Cricetulus griseus: one gene and its partners. The protein of the gene in region 2 interacts with the protein of the main gene of each other region in a biochemical or structural test. Links are inferred from orthologs where the notes say so. Each region holds a gene or a part of one and is shown on either strand. Other genes may lie near its edges. The genes, in order: Nfkb2, Bcl3 and Nfkb1.

Evidence for each region.
Region 1: the proteins of Bcl3 (region 2) and Nfkb2 form a complex in vitro, tested with the Homo sapiens proteins (2 studies listed by BioGRID). The link is inferred for Cricetulus griseus from reciprocal best matches to the Homo sapiens genes BCL3 and NFKB2.
Region 3: the proteins of Bcl3 (region 2) and Nfkb1 form a complex in vitro, tested with the Homo sapiens proteins (2 studies listed by BioGRID). The link is inferred for Cricetulus griseus from reciprocal best matches to the Homo sapiens genes BCL3 and NFKB1.

The regions. Positions count from the first base shown.
Region 1 is NC_048596.1:15,286,893-15,292,645, forward strand, and holds the start of Nfkb2 (nuclear factor NF-kappa-B p100 subunit), read right to left. Parts: upstream 3,439-5,753; 5' UTR 3,288-3,438; intron 2,295-3,287; 5' UTR 2,221-2,294; coding exon 2,200-2,220; intron 1,965-2,199; coding exon 1,883-1,964; intron 1,769-1,882; coding exon 1,728-1,768; intron 1,526-1,727; coding exon 1,427-1,525; intron 1,347-1,426; coding exon 1,195-1,346; intron 934-1,194; coding exon 827-933; intron 744-826; coding exon 585-743; intron 391-584; coding exon 286-390; intron 151-285; coding exon 65-150; intron 1-64. UniProt on the Homo sapiens protein: NF-kappa-B is a pleiotropic transcription factor present in almost all cell types and is the endpoint of a series of signal transduction events that are initiated by a vast array of stimuli related to many biological processes such as inflammation, immunity, differentiation, cell growth, tumorigenesis and apoptosis.
Region 2 is NC_048602.1:27,513,843-27,519,615, forward strand, and holds the start of Bcl3 (B-cell lymphoma 3 protein), read left to right. Parts: upstream 1-2,358; 5' UTR 2,359-2,667; coding exon 2,668-2,908; intron 2,909-5,145; coding exon 5,146-5,299; intron 5,300-5,773. UniProt on the Homo sapiens protein: Contributes to the regulation of transcriptional activation of NF-kappa-B target genes. In the cytoplasm, inhibits the nuclear translocation of the NF-kappa-B p50 subunit.
Region 3 is NW_023276806.1:23,789,411-23,794,964, reverse strand, and holds the start of Nfkb1 (nuclear factor NF-kappa-B p105 subunit), read right to left. Parts: upstream 3,260-5,554; 5' UTR 3,198-3,259; intron 1-3,197.

The DNA of each region.
Region 1 (5,753 bases), on a different chromosome or scaffold from region 2:
CCTTTGGTGTCAGTGAGATCTCTGCCTGGGTCTGCCTCCAGGTCAAGCCCTGGCCCCTCAGTACCTGTTTATGAACGTCTGTAGGAGAGAAGTCCCCAAAGGCTTGCCACCCATTCTCGTCATCCTCATAGAACCGAACCTCAATGTCATCTACCGAGAAAAGTGAAGCTTAGCCATAGGGAGAATCTGCAGGTCCAGTGCATTCATTCTGAAGTTGCCCCGTCCCTCGCCCCGCCCCGCCCCCCCAACAACCAGTGTTTTTAATTCTCAGGCCTCCTGCCTCACCTTTCTGCACCTTATCACAAAGCAAATAAACTTCATCACCACCACGCACAGAACCTGCTGTTTTGTCCATTCGGGAAATCTTCAGGTTTGAGGCCCCTGGAGACTCTAGGATGGGAGATAGGTTAGGGCCACGTTGGCTTTGTGGTCATATCTCACACTTGAGGAAAAGACAAGCAACACTCAGACTAGCTAATAAGCCCACTCATCTCACACGCGGCAGGGCCGGCTCAAACCCCACGGACTGAAGGCATCCCAAACGCTCCTCTGGGTGCTCACACTTGGTACCCCAGGATACTCACTGCTGTCATGGATGGGCTGGGAGATAACTGGCTTCAGAGGCAAGGAGAAGGAGCCATCGCTAGCTCGGAGGAAAGCGGAGAAGCGCAGCCGAACGATGCTCAGGTCCATTACTTTCTTCAGCTCCTTGGCCTCCTGCTCCAGCTCCCTCCGCTCAGCCTCTGGGTGGACAGACAGGCTGGGGTGAACTCTGGGCCACACTACCCTGGCCCTCAAAGCATCTGACAACCCTTAGTGGCCATACCTGTAAGGCCCTGCGGACTGGAACGAAGCCGCTGCCTTTGAAGTTTCTGAATCATAATCTCCATCATGTTCTTCTTGGTTACGTGCAGGACACCCAGATTATTAAACCTGGGGAGGAGGAGGAGCAGGACTCAGAGGGCTTTGTCCATGGAGCTCTTTCCTCCTGAGACAGCCTTCTTACCACCAGGCTCAGCCTGGCTTTGTCCTCTAAGGAAACTGTGCTTTATTCTTGAGTCCCGGGGTTCTGGGCCAAAGTAAAAATCTCTCCCCATTGTGTGCTAGTCTCACGGGGGGGGGGGGGGGGGGCTGGGACCCAAGACTGGCAGGCAATGAACATCCCTCTGGGGGCCAGGGCCAGGGGGCACCTACTGAGCAGTCATGTCCTTGGGTCCTACAGACACAGCGCAGACCCCCAGCTCTGAGCACTGCTTGCCCACCAGACTGTGGGCATGCGCACGAGGTGGGTCACTGTGTGTTACCAGGTCCACCTCAATCTTGGCTGGTCCCTCATAGTTACAGATCTGAGAATGGCAAAGGACGGTCAGTAGTGGCACACTGGACACTATCCCCCAGCCAGCCCTCCAGCAGCATCCAAGCTCACCTTGACAGTAGGGTAGGTCTTCCGGCCCTTCTCACTGGAGGCACCTGGTAGGCCTCCATGGGAGGGGCCCTCACAGCCGTATCGAAATCTGAAGCCCCGCTGAGGGTTCCATGACAGAGACATTGTGGTCAGGAGAGACAGTCCCCCCACCCCCGCTGACCATAATGACCAACAGTGTGTCTCCTGAACTCCTCCCCACAACAGCAACAAACCATCCAATCAAAGTGGCTTCCCCTGTCAGTTACAGTTCCCCCACTTGTCCCCAGAGCTGAAGCTATGGGACACCTCTGTGGTCACTCACCTGCTTGGGCTGCTCCACAATCACCAGATAGGGGCCATCAGCTGCAAACAGAGAGGCCTTGCTCAGCCAGGATCTCCAAGCCCATCCCTCAGGCAGAGGGTCCACGCTCACACTCCTCCAGGCTCCGGGACACCCGAGGCTAAGGACTCACTGACCTGTCTCTGGGGCTGGATCCTTGGGCTCCACAATGGAGGGGCTGAATTCAAAGTCATCATAGTCGGGGATGCCATCCAGACCCTGGGTTTCAGACAGAGAAGGTGGCAGCTGAGTCTGAGCCCGCCTCCTCCCGGTGCCAAAGCCTCAGCAGTCACTGGACTCCTCCTCAAGCCAGGAAGAGGCTCCTTTCTGGGCAAAGTTTGCAGATAGGACAGACGGGCAGACTGAGGCAATCTGAAGACAAGCAGAAGCAGGGGAGGGGCCTTCGGTAGACACAGGGGCACAAGCCGGCTTCAGGGCAGGCAGTGTGACTCACTGGGTCGTAGCATCTGTCCATGTCTCTGGGCTAGGCCCGACCGTGTCTGGCGGCTTCGGGCCCTTGTTCGGCTTCCCAGAGTTTCGGACGCCCGCCTAAAACGAAGAGAGACGCGGGATGGGGGGAGGGGAGAGGTCGGGGTGGGGTGGGCAGGAGAGGGGGCCCAGGCCTGGGGGAGGGTCTGATCGCCTCCGGCCGCCCGTCCGGGCGTGGCGGGTAAGATCCGGTGGAGGTCGAGATCCGGAGCGGGGCCGGAGCGGGGAAGGGGCAGAAAGTTAGCGCAGCTTAGGAAAGTCCCGAAAATACCAGGGGGAGGCGGAGCCGGAGCCGGAGGGGGCGGGCCTGGAAATGACGCCGGGGCCTGGCCCCGCCCCCACGGCGGGAGGGGCGGGCGGGAGGAGGCCGGGGCGGGGCGGTCCCTGGCTCCCCCGCGGCGGCTGCAGCCCCCGGGGCTCAGTCGGGGCCTAGCCCGCCTCGCCCCCGCTCGGCGGCCCGGAGCAACCCCGGGGTTTTCGGCCGGCGCGGAGGACACGGCTGATTCACCCGGGGGCTTTTGCGGGGACATTCCTGCCGTCGGAGGCCCGTAGGCGGGGGCTCTTCCGTGGGGCCCGGGTTCTGCCCGGACGGAGAGCGCACCGAGCCGCAGGGCGGGAGAGGAGTTTCCCTCCGCGGCGGCTGCTGCCCGACCCCGCCTCCCGGACCCTCGCGCTGCACCCGGCCCGGGCGGCGGCCGCGGAGACCCCGGACCGCACCGCCGTGGCAGTGCGTGCGCACGCCCGGGAGAGCGTGTCAGCCCCGAGTGTGTGCGTGGCGAGCGAGTGGGGCAGCGCGCACGTGCCGCGGAGCGCTCGTCCGCGCAGGTGAGTCCCGGAGCGCTCCGAGGCGGACGTCGGTGCACGCCCGGGTGGCGGCGCCGGGGCGCGGGGAGCGCACGGCTGGCACCGGCCGGCTGTGCGAGCGCAGGCGGAGAGCCGCTGTGTGCCGGCGTCCCGCTCCTGGGCGGGCGGGCGCTCCCGAGGTGGTGTCCGGCCCCTGCGGCCACCTGAATCCCTCCTCCCTCCGTCCCGCTCCTGGCCCCGGCCACTCACCGCGGCGGCGGCGGCGGCGGCCCCGGGTCCGGCTGCTTCTTCTCCGCGAGCCCTGCCCTGCCCTGCGCGGCCGCGGCTCGGCTCCAGCCCGGGCTCCCGCCGGGAAAGCCCCTTTCGGCCCCCCGAGGGGGGAATTCCCGTGACGTCCCCGTGCGTCACCCCCATGCCCGGTCCTTATTGGCTGGAAGTTTAACTCCCGGACTCTCGCAGCCAACCCCGAGCGACGCAGGCGCGCCCCTTACGGGGAAGGCTCGCCCGGGCCGGTGACCGGTGACCGGGTGTCAGTCCCCCCCGGGCCGCTCTGCTGCGGACGGCCGAGGCGGGACGGCCGAGGCGGCGTCTCGGGGCCCGGGGCTCGGGTCTCCGCGCCGTCCCGGGCTTGGCCCGCATGGCTAGGGAGCGCACGGGGCCCTCACTCTGGCCGCGCCCAGCACTTGGCTGCCTCTGAAACCGGGGAAACCCGTGGCAAGCGGGCCAGTCCCGACGCTCGGGTCCCTCCGGGACAGGGACCTCGGTGCTGGGAAGTTAGGGGAAGAGGAAGGAGGCTCATCTTGCGGTCGGCTCCACATCGCCATCTAGTGGCCTTTCTGGATCTGCGAGGAAACGCTGGGGTCACCCACTGTCTCGGTTTGAAGGCTTCTGGAGACAGAGACTCGTGGTTTTAAATTTTATTCTCTAAGTGGCGGGTTCACGGGGGTCCAGGCTTTCGGGATGACCTGCTGGAGGAGCAGTGCGCTGGGAGAAAAAGAAACGGAGGCGTTTGACTGGGAGTCTCAGGCCTTGTTCATCCACCACAGGTGTCTGGACCAGTAGAACTGATGTGCTGATACACGCAGACCTGCAGTCCCGGCTTTCTTGAGACCGAGACAGGAGGATCGCCACCCTGTCTCAGCACACGTGCACGCAAAGGTGTCCAAAGTATGATATTCAAACCTCCTCCAGTGTAGAAAATGGCTATTGCTCGGTGGTGTGCTTTGCATGTATGAGGTCCATCATCAAAGCTGGTAGGAGGCTGGGGAGGCAGCTCAGCGGGTAAGCGCTCACTGCTGCTTTTCCAGGGGGACGAAGTTCTGTTCCCAGTTTCCACTTCGGACAGCTCACAAGTGTGTGAAACTGTAACAGCAGCAGATCCCACTGTCTCTCCCCCGGCCTCTGAGAGTGCTGAGTTCACGCGCACATTCCTCAGTTCCCACCCACTCCCAAAACCCTCCAGAATTACAAACACAAAAAAATCTATTTTGGGGCTCAGCGTTTAAGAGCAATGGCTGGTCTTTCAGAGGTCCTGAGTACGAGTCCCAGCAACAACATGGTGGCTCACAACCGTCTCTAGAGGGATCTGATGCCATCTTCCGGCATAAAGGTGTACATGCAGATAGAGCACTCATATACATAAAATAAATTTATCTTTAAAAAACTATTTTAAAAGCCACCCTGAGCTGGGCAGTGGTGTTGTACACATTTAATCTCAGCACTTGGGAGGCAGAGGCAGGCGGATCTCTGTGAGTTCGAGGCCAGCCTGGTCTACAAAGCAAGTTTCAGGACAGCCAGGACTGTTACAGAGAAACCCTGTCACAGAAAGAAAAAAAAAAAAATACAAGGAAAAAGTCACCCTGAAAATGAATGTCCTGTCCTCTCACACTCAGTGACCTCTCCTTGAGCACATCCAGTGACAAGGTCAACATGAGTGAGGATTTATAGCGTGGACTCCACATCCGCACCTCTGGTTGTCAACTTTCCCTGTAGGAGCTGTGTGCACAGTGCATCTCAACGCTTGGAGCACAAATCTTCCAGGTTTCTTCCACGACTTGCCCCGATCTCTAGGACATGGTCATAGACTTGTACCAGGAAGGGAGCTGTATTAATTCTTATCTGCCCCACCCTTAGAGTAAATGCTTGAAACAGGAAGCATTTCAGTCTTTTGTTTTTTGGTTGTTTTTTTTTTTTTTTAATTCTTAGGGTATTTGCATAGAATACAGGTTGGGCTTCACTAATCCGAAGAGATGAAACTATCTGTTTCAGACTACGGAAGCCAATTGTATCCACTTACACTGTTGATGGAAACTAAGGCATATCTAGGAAGGAGAGAGAATAGATTGCTTCCCCACCACCCACCCCAAGACAGGGTTTCTCTCTGTAGCGTTGACTGTCCTGGGACTCACCCTGAAGACTAGGCTGGTCTTAAACTCAGAAATCCTGCCTGCCTCTGCCTCTCGAGTGCTGGGATTAAAGGCGTGCTCCACCAATGCCTGATTGGAGTTCTACTTACTTTTAATGCAGGGGCATCTACAAGAACATTGAGTATTCTTAGCCATCAAGCAGTCTCTCGAACTGTTTTCTCTCTGCCCATTGGGTCCCTGCAGCTGCTATGAAATATCCACTCCTAGGCTTAATATCAGTTACAATTGTTTGGCTGATGGCTCAGGCTTCTTATTGCCTAGCTCTCTCTTAATTATTAACCCATTTCTA
Region 2 (5,773 bases):
GTAGCCCAGGCTGGCCTCAGGCCTTCTCTGTAGGTAGCTGATGCTGGCCTTTGAAACCCTGGCCACCTCTATGGCACTGGGGTACTGAGTGTGCACCATACCCACCTAGCACTTTCGTTTTTGCTTTATTGGCTCATTTTGTTGAGATAGTTTCCACAGGTTACCCAGGTTGGCCTTCAACTCACTCTGTAGCCCAGGCTAACCCAAACCTTTCTCTCCTTTTGCCTCGACTGCTAAACAACCTGGAATTACAGGCAAACACAATTCCCCTGGTGGCTTGGAGGTGAGATTTGAACCCAGGTCTGGTCTTCTCTCCTGATTCACCTTAATGGCACACTGTGGGTTGGGAGGAGAAGGGCAAGCCAGAAAGAAACAAAAACGGTAGGAAGAGGTAGGTCACCTGGCACCTCGAATCCCACAGACCAGGTTAACCATCCACTTGGGTGGGGCCCCAGCCGGCCAAAGTCCCTTCATAGGCTCCACGCCCACGTTCATGGTCCCAGGACAACGGAGGACTCAGAGACAAAAAAAAAAAAAAAAAAGTGGGGGGAGGGACAGAAAAATGGAGATGTAGGCTCACACCTGTAATCTCAGCACTCTGGAGGCTCAGGTAGGAGGACTGCCCCTAGTCCGTGGCCAGCCTGGGCTACAGAGACCCAATCTGGAAAAACAGTCAGGAAACGGGACAGGAGACAAGGGACCCGGGAACGGGTTTGTAGAGACGCATGGACATCCGGAGAAAGAACCAGGGGACCCCGAGAATCTTCTGGGCGTGTTTGCAGCGCAGTGCCCATTCCCCTGCCTCCCTAAGTCTCCAACCGCCTTCCCCCATCCGCCTCCCTGTGACTCAGTGACCTGGATTCAACCCCAGTGGCCGCTCCACCTCCAGGGATGTCCGGGAAAGCCCCGAGCTGCGGCCCCGCCCCGGGGCGGGCCCCGAGCAGGCTGAGCCTCTGGCCGGCCTCCCCAGCTCCTGTGCCTTTGAGTCAGGGCCCCAACCAGCCGGGCCTGTTCCCCACCCGCCAGCCCCTCCTCGGGGTGGAAAGAGAAGTGGGGGGGAGCTGAGGAAGTCAGCCTGCACCCCCCAAGGCCCACAGTGCTTGGCCTTGAGCCCTAACTGTGGCCTGCTGTCCCAACCTCTTCACTCTGGTCACCCTGTCTCTCGGGATCTGTCTGCAGGTTTCTTCCCTTTGGGATTCAATCTTCTCCTCTGAGGCCTCTGGCTGGGTGCAGGGACCCAGCAGGAGACACATTCGAAGCTCTCGTGCACACACACCCGTCCACCCTCCGCCCTGCAAGCCGGGAGGCACAAGGAAGGCACAGAGTGGCTAGTTCCTGGGCACCAGCCAAAAACCAGTCCCTGCCCTGGGCTGGGCTTTTCATTCTCAGCCTGATGGTGCAGGCCTGCCATCCCCACCTCCTCAAGAGGCAGGCAGGAAGATTCCAAGTTCAAAGCTGTCCTGGGCTACTGAGCAAACGCAAGGTCAGCTTGGGCAGCTTGAAAACTTGGAAAGCAAACAGAAGGTTGGGCCATAAATGCTCAGTGCTGGGACGATTGCTTGCCGAGCACAAGTGCCTGGGCTCCAGTATTGCAAAAAAGAAAAAAGAAAAAAGAAAAAAGAAGAAGAAGAAGAAGAAGAAGAAGAAGAAGAAGAAGAAGAAGAAGAAGAAAAGAAACAAAAGAAACAACTGTGTGTGTGTGTGTGTGTGTGTGTGTGTGTGCATGGCCGAGGTCACCCAAGAGAAAGTAGGAATCAGGATTCAAACCTGTGTCCTAGCAACCCTGTGGCCTCCAAGAATCGCAGGGTTGCGACAGGAGGTGCTGGGTGAAAAACTCAGAAACACTAAAGGAAAGATGGGGCTGGTAACAGTAGGGTTAAAGAGAGGAGGTTGCTCACAAATGTTGACTCCGATAGATAGGCAGCCGCAGCCATGAAATTCAGAGACAGAGTCGGCTGAGACATTTGGATCCCTAGCACGCAGGAGGCACCTGCTCGACCAATAGAAAAATGTGCCTGTTAATGGTGGCCCGAGTCCACAGCCTCAGCTTTTGGGAGGGAAGACAGGAGTTCAAGGTCATCCTCTGCTCCATAGCAAATTCAAGGCTAGCCTGGGCTACATGATCCCTGGGCAAAGAAAAACCAAGGCCCCAGTGGAGCAGGTGTCTTCCCAGCACTCGAGGTGGAAACAGGAGGATCAGAAGGTCAAGACCACCCTCTGCTGCATAGCCACCTCGAGGCTAGCCTGGGCTACATGAGCTTCAGTCTAAGAAAATGAGAGGGAGAGAGAGAGAGGAGGTAGGGAGAGAGAGAGGGGGGGAAAGGACAGAGAGCCAGAGAGAGAGAGAGAGAGAGAGAGAGAGAGAGAGAGAGAGAGAGAGAGAGAATCTTTGGGACCAGACCAAGCTCCGGGCCAGAGAGGCACGCTGAGCAGAGCAGCGGGTGGGGACCAGGAGCGCCGGCTCCGCCTCCGAGACGCGGGTCCAGGAAACCCCTGGGGCGGACGGGTGGCCCTGGGGGCCCGGGGGCGGGGAGGCGGGAGGCGGGCACCGCCCCGGCTGACAAAAGTCCCTTCAGTTCAGTCGGCAGCAGGGGAAGTCCCGCAGCCTGGCGAGACCGCCTTCCCGTGCCGAGCTTGCCGCTCGCCCCGGCGTCTCCGGGCGGCCCGATGCCCCGATGCCCCGCGGGGGCCATGGACGAGGGGCCCGTGGACCTGCGCACCCGGCCCAAGGGCGCCCCGGGCGCCGCACTGCCGCTCCGCAAACGTCCGCTGCGCTCCGCGTCCCCGGAGGCCGCAGCCCCGCGCGCCCCCGCCAGACCCCTGGACCCCCTGCGCAGCAGCTGCGACGCCCCGGCTGTCCCTGGGCCCCCCCACGGCGTGGCCAGGCCGGAGGCGATTTACTACCAGGGTGAGTAGCGCCTCCCAAGCGAGGGCCAGGGCCGGGTGGGGGCCACCTGAGGTCAGTAGAGCATAAGACACAAATAGATGAGGCTCCTGGTAGCTGGGACTCTGGGATGGAGACGAGTGTCCCAGAGATAGTTAGGAAACAGGTTGCAAAGCCCTGCCTGGAGTTCAGCCATGTGGGTACCAAGAGACAGGAGGTCAGAGGGGTGCCCAAGAGTCAAATGGCCGGGGGGCGGGGGATGTCAGGGGACAGTGTCCAGTGGCGCAGATATGGGGTCCCATGGCATCCCAGAGATGCAGAATTTCAGACGGGGAAGGACAAGATGTAAGGACTATGCAGAATTATCACCCGGGCCTTGGAAACTGGGGTTCTGGTATGCAGATATGCAGGGGGCGTAGAAACAGACAGGGCTCGAAGGTTAATCTTGAGAACCAGGATTTCAGGGTGCAAAGGGATTGAGAGAAAGGCATTAGCGTTCTGAGCACTCCCGTGTTTGGAGCACAGGTCTAAACACGTAGAGTCCCAAGGACCCCAATATTGCAAGTTTGGAGGAGTCAGCAAACAAAGCCAGCATTCTGCAGTCAGTTGTGTGTGCTCCCAAGTGTCCCTAGGTCAGGTGGCCCTAGGGGCAGGCTTGGGGACAGAGGGTTCTGGAAAGGGGAACACAACTAAAGAATTCAGAAACTGAAGGACTTAACCCAGGAAAGGGATTCGGGGGCCTGGAAAGGTGGGACTGCAGAAAGGGAACCCCAAAGCTACTCAGACGGCAGGAAGCCAGGAACCCTTCTCCCCAACCTTTATATCAAGGAAGGGGCGTCCCCTTGCACAACCGCCTTACTATATGCTCGATACCCCAGAGCTGCTGACACCTGTTTCTTTGGGCCTTCAGTTTCTTCAGCTGCTAGCCTAGCTATCCATGCTTCATCAGGCCGGCATCAAGCTGTGTAACAGGAGGCCTTCCTTGGCCTGATGGGAACCCTGGCCTCTGTTTTCCCGTCTTTGCAATAGTCCTTCCCAAAGTTCCATCTAAACTGTCCTGGCTCCCTGGCTCCGCTGTGTGTTTACTTCCCACCCAAGACCCGGTCCCTTCAGCTACGAAATGACTCACAGTGTAACTTTGTAACTGGGGTACCCCTGCTGGGTGGTAACAGGGCTCTCCCTGCCCTTAAGGGCCTCTTCTGTAGATGGATGGAGGTCAGGCGTGAGTGAGAGAAGAAACAGCGTCATAGGAGAGACGCGGAATGAGGGATAGGGGTTAGGGGTGAGGGATAAAGGGTGCAGGAATTGGGGGGGAGGGTGCCAGGAATGAGAACATTGTCTCGGGCCTTGAGGACCAAGTTTGAGGAGCTAACAGAATCTGGGATAGCCAAACGTGATGATGCACACCTGTAATCCCAGCACCTGGGAAGCTGCAGCAAGAGGATCTCCTTGAATTTGAGGCCAGCCTGGGCTAAAGCACAGTGACACAGTGTTTCAAAGGAGGGGTGGGGGAGATGGCTCAGGGGTTAAGAGCACTTGCTGCTCTTGCAGAGGACCCGAGCTTATTCCCAACACCTAGGTCTGACAGCTCACAAAGCTGTCTGTAACTCCAGTTCTGGGAGTGCAACGCCCTCTTCCGGCCTCTGGGGGCTTCGGGCAGGCGTGTGGTGTGCATACATACACGCAGGCAAAACATTCATACACTTTTAAAAAGCTGATACAACTTGTAAAAGTAATGACTATAAATAGATCTTTGAAAGAAAAGGGACCTTGGGGCAGGAGAGACGGCTTAGTGTTCTTGGAGTGGACTTGTCTTCAGATCTCGGCACCCACTTAAACTCCCTGTACCGCTGGTTTCAGGGAATCTGGCGCCCTCTGCTGGTCTCCATGGGCACATGCACAAATGTGGTGCACATAAACACCCTCGGTCGTGCACACACACACACACACACACACACACACACACACACACACACACACAGAAAAATTTAAAATGGGTAAATCTTTATATACATAAAAATGTAACAGTAAGTGAAGTGATGCAGGTCTATAATTCATTCCATCTCCCAGGAGATGAGGGCAGGGGGATCGGGATTGGAGGTTATCCCCAGCTACATATTAAATTCAAGGTCAACCCGGGCTACATGAGAATGGGAGCAGGGGATTTGGGAGGATGCCAAGGCCTGGAGGGAGAGACCCCTGGCCAAGGGTCTGTGAGGTTGGCTTCACCCGGGTCATACTGTTGTTTCTGCTGTATCCAGGACCTCTGGTGCCCATTTACCCTACCCCAACGGTGGGACCCCCCTTTCCGCTGCTGAACCTGCCTACACACCTCTACTCCAGGATGTGCCCCGTGGAACACCCCCTTTCAGCTGACATTGCCCTGGCCACCCACGCAGACGAGGATGGAGACACGTAAGTGATAGAGCCTGGAGGAGCCCAGCCCTCTGCGCCATGGGGTCCCACGTCAGGATCTGCCTCCATGGCTCACTGACACTGCACAGAGCTCTCCCCCTAACTGAGCCTCAGTTTCCTCCTATGGAAAATGGGCACTTGAGAGCGCCCATTGGCTAGGGCTGTTGTGGGGGTGGGAGACTGAACCTGTGTACGCTCCTTGCTTGCTCTAACAGGAAGCCACAACCCCAACCTCTCAATTGTATCATAATCCAAAAAACGAGAACTATGCATCTTTCTCTGTTTTCATTTTTTTTTTTGGTTTTATTTACATACATGGGTGTTTGGTCTGTGTGAATGTCTGTGCACCATGTGCGTGCCTGGTGCCTGAGGAGGCAAGAGGAGGGCATGAGTTACAGATGGTTGTGAAGATCTATTAGGTCTTCTGGAAGAGCAGCCATAGCTTTTAATCACTGAGACATCTCTCCAGTCCCC
Region 3 (5,554 bases), on a different chromosome or scaffold from region 2:
TGCAAGACTATGCCCATCTTCCAAACATTCCTCCCTGAGGCTGAGCGTCTGCACTTAGTGGAAAGCCTCAAACCCTGAAGCTTCGACAGAATGCATTCCCTGGGATACACCCATCTGCTCTTACTCTTCTCACCTGCTCACCTCTAAAACAACAACCAGCTCCAGTACTGAAAAGAGGTGCAAAAGCACAAACCACAATTCCCAGAAGCAGAACCAGGTGCTCCGGGTGCCAACCAGCCTTAATGGGACAGAAATGCAGGACTAAGGCATGCTGGTCTTCTAGTATAATTCTACTACTCGCCCTTCTCCTGGCCCTCGAACACAACAGTCGCACTACCTTATAGAATTGATTCATGTTGCAAGCAGAACGCTGGAAAGCCATCCAAACAAGACAGCTTCCTACCAGAAGACAAGCCCATGAGAATTTCTGCAGATACTGACTCACATACATCCAATCTGTATTCCTGGTACACTTGCTAACATAGTATCTCTGGGCCCAGGACAGGACACCTATTGGTAAATTCTAGGAGTGGGGGAATAAATGGTATCTTGAGCACATTATCCAAAAATCCTGCCAGCAGGGCTAGAGGCATTTGGAGGTATGGAGGTATAGTTCCATAGTAGACCACTCATAAGGCCCTAGGTTTATCCTAGTCTGGCTAAACAATGAATCTACCTGGCAATTTAGGAATAATTATTTAGCTTATTATTTAAAAATGGCAGCTACTTTTCTTTCTTTTCTCAAGCTCAAATTAATTGACGGCTGTGAAGTGGTTACTGCCCCCTAGAAGTCAGAAATCTCACCTCTTCTGAGCAGGGGAATACCTTATAAATAAATTAGGTAAAACCCTGGGCTTGCTGATTGAATGATAATCCACAATCCATGTGGCTGCCAAGTTTTATCTAGCTCTATCTACCACAATGAGCAATCCCTGAACGTCAAGGCAGTGGCTTGCTTCATCAGTTATCTGGAAGTCTGAAAGCAGCAGAGAAAACAGCCTGCAGAAATACTAGCTTCTCCACTTAGCTTCGATTCGTCTGAAGGGACCACGGCAAGGGACATGGCCACTAAATCTAAAATGCTGCCCATTTCCAACTAGTTGGGCTTTAACCCACTGTGACTCAGTCAGCCTGGCTGAGTTCTAGAGGCAGAAGCAAAAAAAGGAAACACAAAGATCAAAGCAGTGCTTACAAAGGGGAAAGACTATTTTTGTATGTATACTCCAGTATTTACTAACTGGCTTTGAAACACGGGGACATTTACTACCTACTCAGCTCAAGTAATTGCCATACGTAGAACACAAGATGCAACTGAATTTCAGAACAAAGATAACAGATTGTCAGGTGGCCACCAGCCTTTAACAAGATTAGACAACTTTCTTTAAAAGTCTTTTGGTTTTGAAGTGGTTAGCATTTCACAGCAAGTATAGTATTTTAGTGCCAGCATTAAGTCTACCCAGAAGCCTTCTTTTGTGCTCAAGTTTGTTGAGTATGTTAAGCCAAGAAGACATTTTTCTCTAAGCTAGCAAGAGACTCCCAGATGTATCCACATGGGCAAGAGCTACAGATTTCACATTGCCATCATTACGTGTGTTCTGCTAGTCATCCAATTGGATGACAAATGTTAAATCCAATAGGAAGCAAATCTTTTCATTCCTGTCTTCTCAAGTTCATATGCTAAGCAAAGTACTTTGTTGTAAATAATTTACATAATTTTTAGTTCATCAGACAGTAAGTGGCTCCATCTCTAGAAAGCACAATATGAAAATCAGGGAAAAACACATTTCAGTTAGGGGCTTACTTTAATCAAGTTTCCCTTTTTAAGGTCTTACAAATATTAACGCATTTTATGCCACCCAAGAATACTCAGCTGAGGATTTCACTAGAAAGCTACCGAAGTCTATCTTCATCTCCAGCTTTCATATTTACCAACGACCATCAGTCTATACCTCGTTATTTGATGTCATGGCTATCAAAATGTTAATAAACACCGAAAGCATTTCTCAGTTATGAGCCCTACGACAAAAACTTTTTTAGTTAAATATGGTAACTTAGCTGCAATGTCAATCTTTAAAATGTCCACAAAAGTGGGTTAAATCTAGGTGATGAAATCTTTTTTTTTATCATTAGTTCCATTTAAGTTTCAGAAGAGACCAGTAAACAGAACCAAGATCGGCCTCTATCTCAGAAGACCTAAGAAAGCTTATATGTAGGAAAGGCGTCGTTTGTATGGTGTTTTGTGGTTGTTTTGTTTTGTTTTAGAGGTCATGCACGATACATGGTGCCATTATCCTAGAGTTTCCTGCAATCAAGTGTCTAAGAGGCGCTTAAATTAGTAGGTAATTTCTCTCTCTAATGCCAAGGCCTGGAGAATCGGTGTGAGGCCCTCCTCATATTTTGAAAATCAATGTTGAGATCTGGCAGCTGAATGCACTCTGTGTGTGTGTGTGTGTGTGTGTGTGTGTGTGTGTGTGTGTGTGTGTGTGTGTGTGGGGGGGTGATCAATGTTGAGATCTGGCAGCTGAATGCACTCTGTGTGTTGTGTGTGTGTGTGTGTGTGTGTGTGTGTGTGTGTGTGTGTGTGTGTTGGGGGGTGTCTATCACAGATCAGAAAGTGGGCCGTGTGTGTGTGTGTGTGTGTGTGTGTGTGTGTGTGTGTGTTGGGGGGGTGTCTATCACAGATCAGAAAGTGGGCCTCAGGCTCTCCTGCTGGATTCCGAGGAGCTGGGAAGGGGGCTGCCAGCCTGGAGGACTGACAGGCACTTCTGCTTTCATTTCACCGCCCGCCCGGCTGCCTGCCTTTGGTGAAATCTGGCTGTGCACTGCACCAAGCACCTTCCTAGCTCTCCTCCGCGGCGGACCTCAGCCCGGCAGCCATCCCCCACCCCGCGGCAGGGGCTTGGGTAGACATTTCTAAAACTTTGCCAGAGTTCCCCTCCGGTTCCCGTTCCCGCCCGCGGAGACGCGGAGGGCCCGGCCGGCCGGGGAGGCCTCGGGCCGCCCAGTGCGGATGTGCCCTGTCCCCGCAGCCGGGGGCCGCGCGTCCCGCAACTCCGGCCCGGACTCCCCCGCTCATCCCCGCGCCCTCCCCGCGGACCCGCCCGGAGCCCCGCGCAGCTGCGAGCCGCTCGGACCCGCCGCGGGGCTGCGGCGCACAGGGGGCGGCTGCGCCCCTCGCCCCAACCCCCGAGGCTTACCCTGGAGGTGCGGCGCGGCGCGGCGCGGCCTCTCGGCGCCTGCGGGCTCCCGCTGCGGGGCGGGGCGGCGCGGACCGGCGGGAGCCCGAGCGGGGTCCGGGGGTGCGGGCCGGGGTCGGCGGCTCAGCGGCGCGCCATGGCTGCGGCGCGGCGGGAAGCGCGGTGCGGGCCGGGCGCGGCGGGGCCCTGAGCTCCGTCCGGCCTGCGCTGCTGGAGCTGGCCCGCGAGCAGGCGAGGGCGGCGGCGGCGGCGGGAGGCCGGGGGCGCGCAGGGCACGGGAAGCCGTCAGCGCGCAGCCGGGCCGCTCCGGTGGCGAAACCTCCTCTTCCTGCCCGGCTCGCCCGCCTCGGTACTTCTCTCTCGTCCTCTCTCGCTCACTCTCTCACTTCCTGGCTGGAAATTCCCACTGACGTCGAGAGAGCAGACAGACGGACGGACCCACGCGCGCGCGCAGCGGGGGCGGGAGGTGGGGTCGCCGCCGGGGGTGGGGGAAGCCCGCGCCTCCCGACCCGGCGCCCCGAACCCCGAGCCCCGCGGCGGCCGTGACGCCCCCGGGAGGCGCCCAGCTGCCCAAGGGCAGGCCCGAACAGCTGGAGGCCACCGGAGACCCGCTCGGTCCCCACGTGCCCCGCACAAAAGTCAAGCTCATCTGCATGTTCCCTCCTCTGGGGGTCTCGGTTGCACTCAGATCTCTTCGCAGGCCGAACAGGAATTTCGAGATCGTGGCTGATGTCTCTCCAGAGAACTATGAATTTATGTTGGGTTTGGGTGAAGTCTTCAATCTGGTCAGTTATTCCATCCGCAGCACATTGTCCGGCCTGTGCGATCACGGCTGTGGATGGAATTCTAGCGACTGTGGGACCCACAGTGTTAGTTTACAGCTCATAAATCCTTATTCGGCTCAAGGGAGGTTATTTTTCTGGAGAGGACTCCCAGGGATGACCTTTTGCGAGCATTTGAGCTTCTTTATCCTTTGGGCACAGTGCCTCCATGGGCTGGGATGACAGCCTGGGGCAAGGTAGCTCCAGAGTGAGTTTTGATCTGAAACATATTTCAGGGTCTCACTACTGAGTTCAAGTGGAAACTTTGAAACGCCAGGGATCAGGTCAGCAGGTAGTATTGATTTGGTACTTACTCTGAGCAGCTTTCCATCACACAACCCCTGAGGGTGTAAAAACCTTCTTGGTATGTTTGTGAGGAAACACGTTTTCCATATTTGATATTGGGGATTAAGTGTCCTCAAGAGCCCAATAATCTACCTTAAAGCTATGTCATTTAAATCCCAGTGAATCTGGACGCCTAGAGCTCACAAACTTCATACAGATGGAAGACAAAGACTTTTTATGGGACATTATTAGAAATTGTGCCCCTTGGGGGTTGGGAAATAGTTCAATCAGCATAGAGCATAGTCCCAAGGTTGGAGTTGAGATCTTTAATACCCATGTATGTAAGAGCCGTTGTAGGTGGGGACATTTGTAACCCCAGCTGTGAGAAACAGCATCAGTTGGATCCCTAGAACTCATTGGCCAACCAATATAGCCAAGGGCTGAGCCACAGGTTCAGTGACATAAAGTGACACACACAGAGACCACCAACACATGATTTTTTTCCTTCCTCTTGCTGACATGCGTGGACAGGAAGACTACAGTGTGTAACGTGTGGGCAGTCCTACTGTCAAAGGCATAGGTATAGAAGGGATTGTTACAAAGGGAGAGGCAGGTGGGATTTACCGTGGGACCTGAAGGGAAAACTGTTCAGCAGCAGCATCTACCAAGTCACATGTCAAGCTCAAAGTGATCCCATGAAATACACCTAAAACAGGAGGCGGTACGGGAGGCAGGTGGACAAGGCTCCTGTGTCTGTGGCAACAGGTCCCCACAATGTCAGGGATCTGTTCCTTCACAGCCCTTGAAGCCAGAGGCCTGACATTAAGGTGTGGCTGTTAAGGCCAGGATCTCCAGAAATCCTTTGTCCAGTCCTAACTGGCTGAGGCAATGCCTGGCACTCTTGGGCTTGGCGGCACCATTCTAGTCCTCTGCTTCATTATTGTATCAGCTCCTCCCTGTGCCTCCTCTAATCTAAACCCAAAGAGACTTGCCTTTCTTTTATTTATTTAAAGGATTAATTTTTAACTCTCTGTAGTGTGTGTGTAGGGTGTGTGTGTGTTTGTGTGTGTACGTGTAGGTGACTGTGGAGTTCAGACGATGCGTGTGTAGGTATGTGTGTGTGAGTGTGGGTGCCTGTGGAGTCCAGACGAAACATCAGATCTGGAATTACAAGTGGTTGTAAGACACCCAGCATAGGTGCTGGGAATCCAGTGTGAGTCCTCCACAAGAGCAGTAGGTCTTCTTCAATTC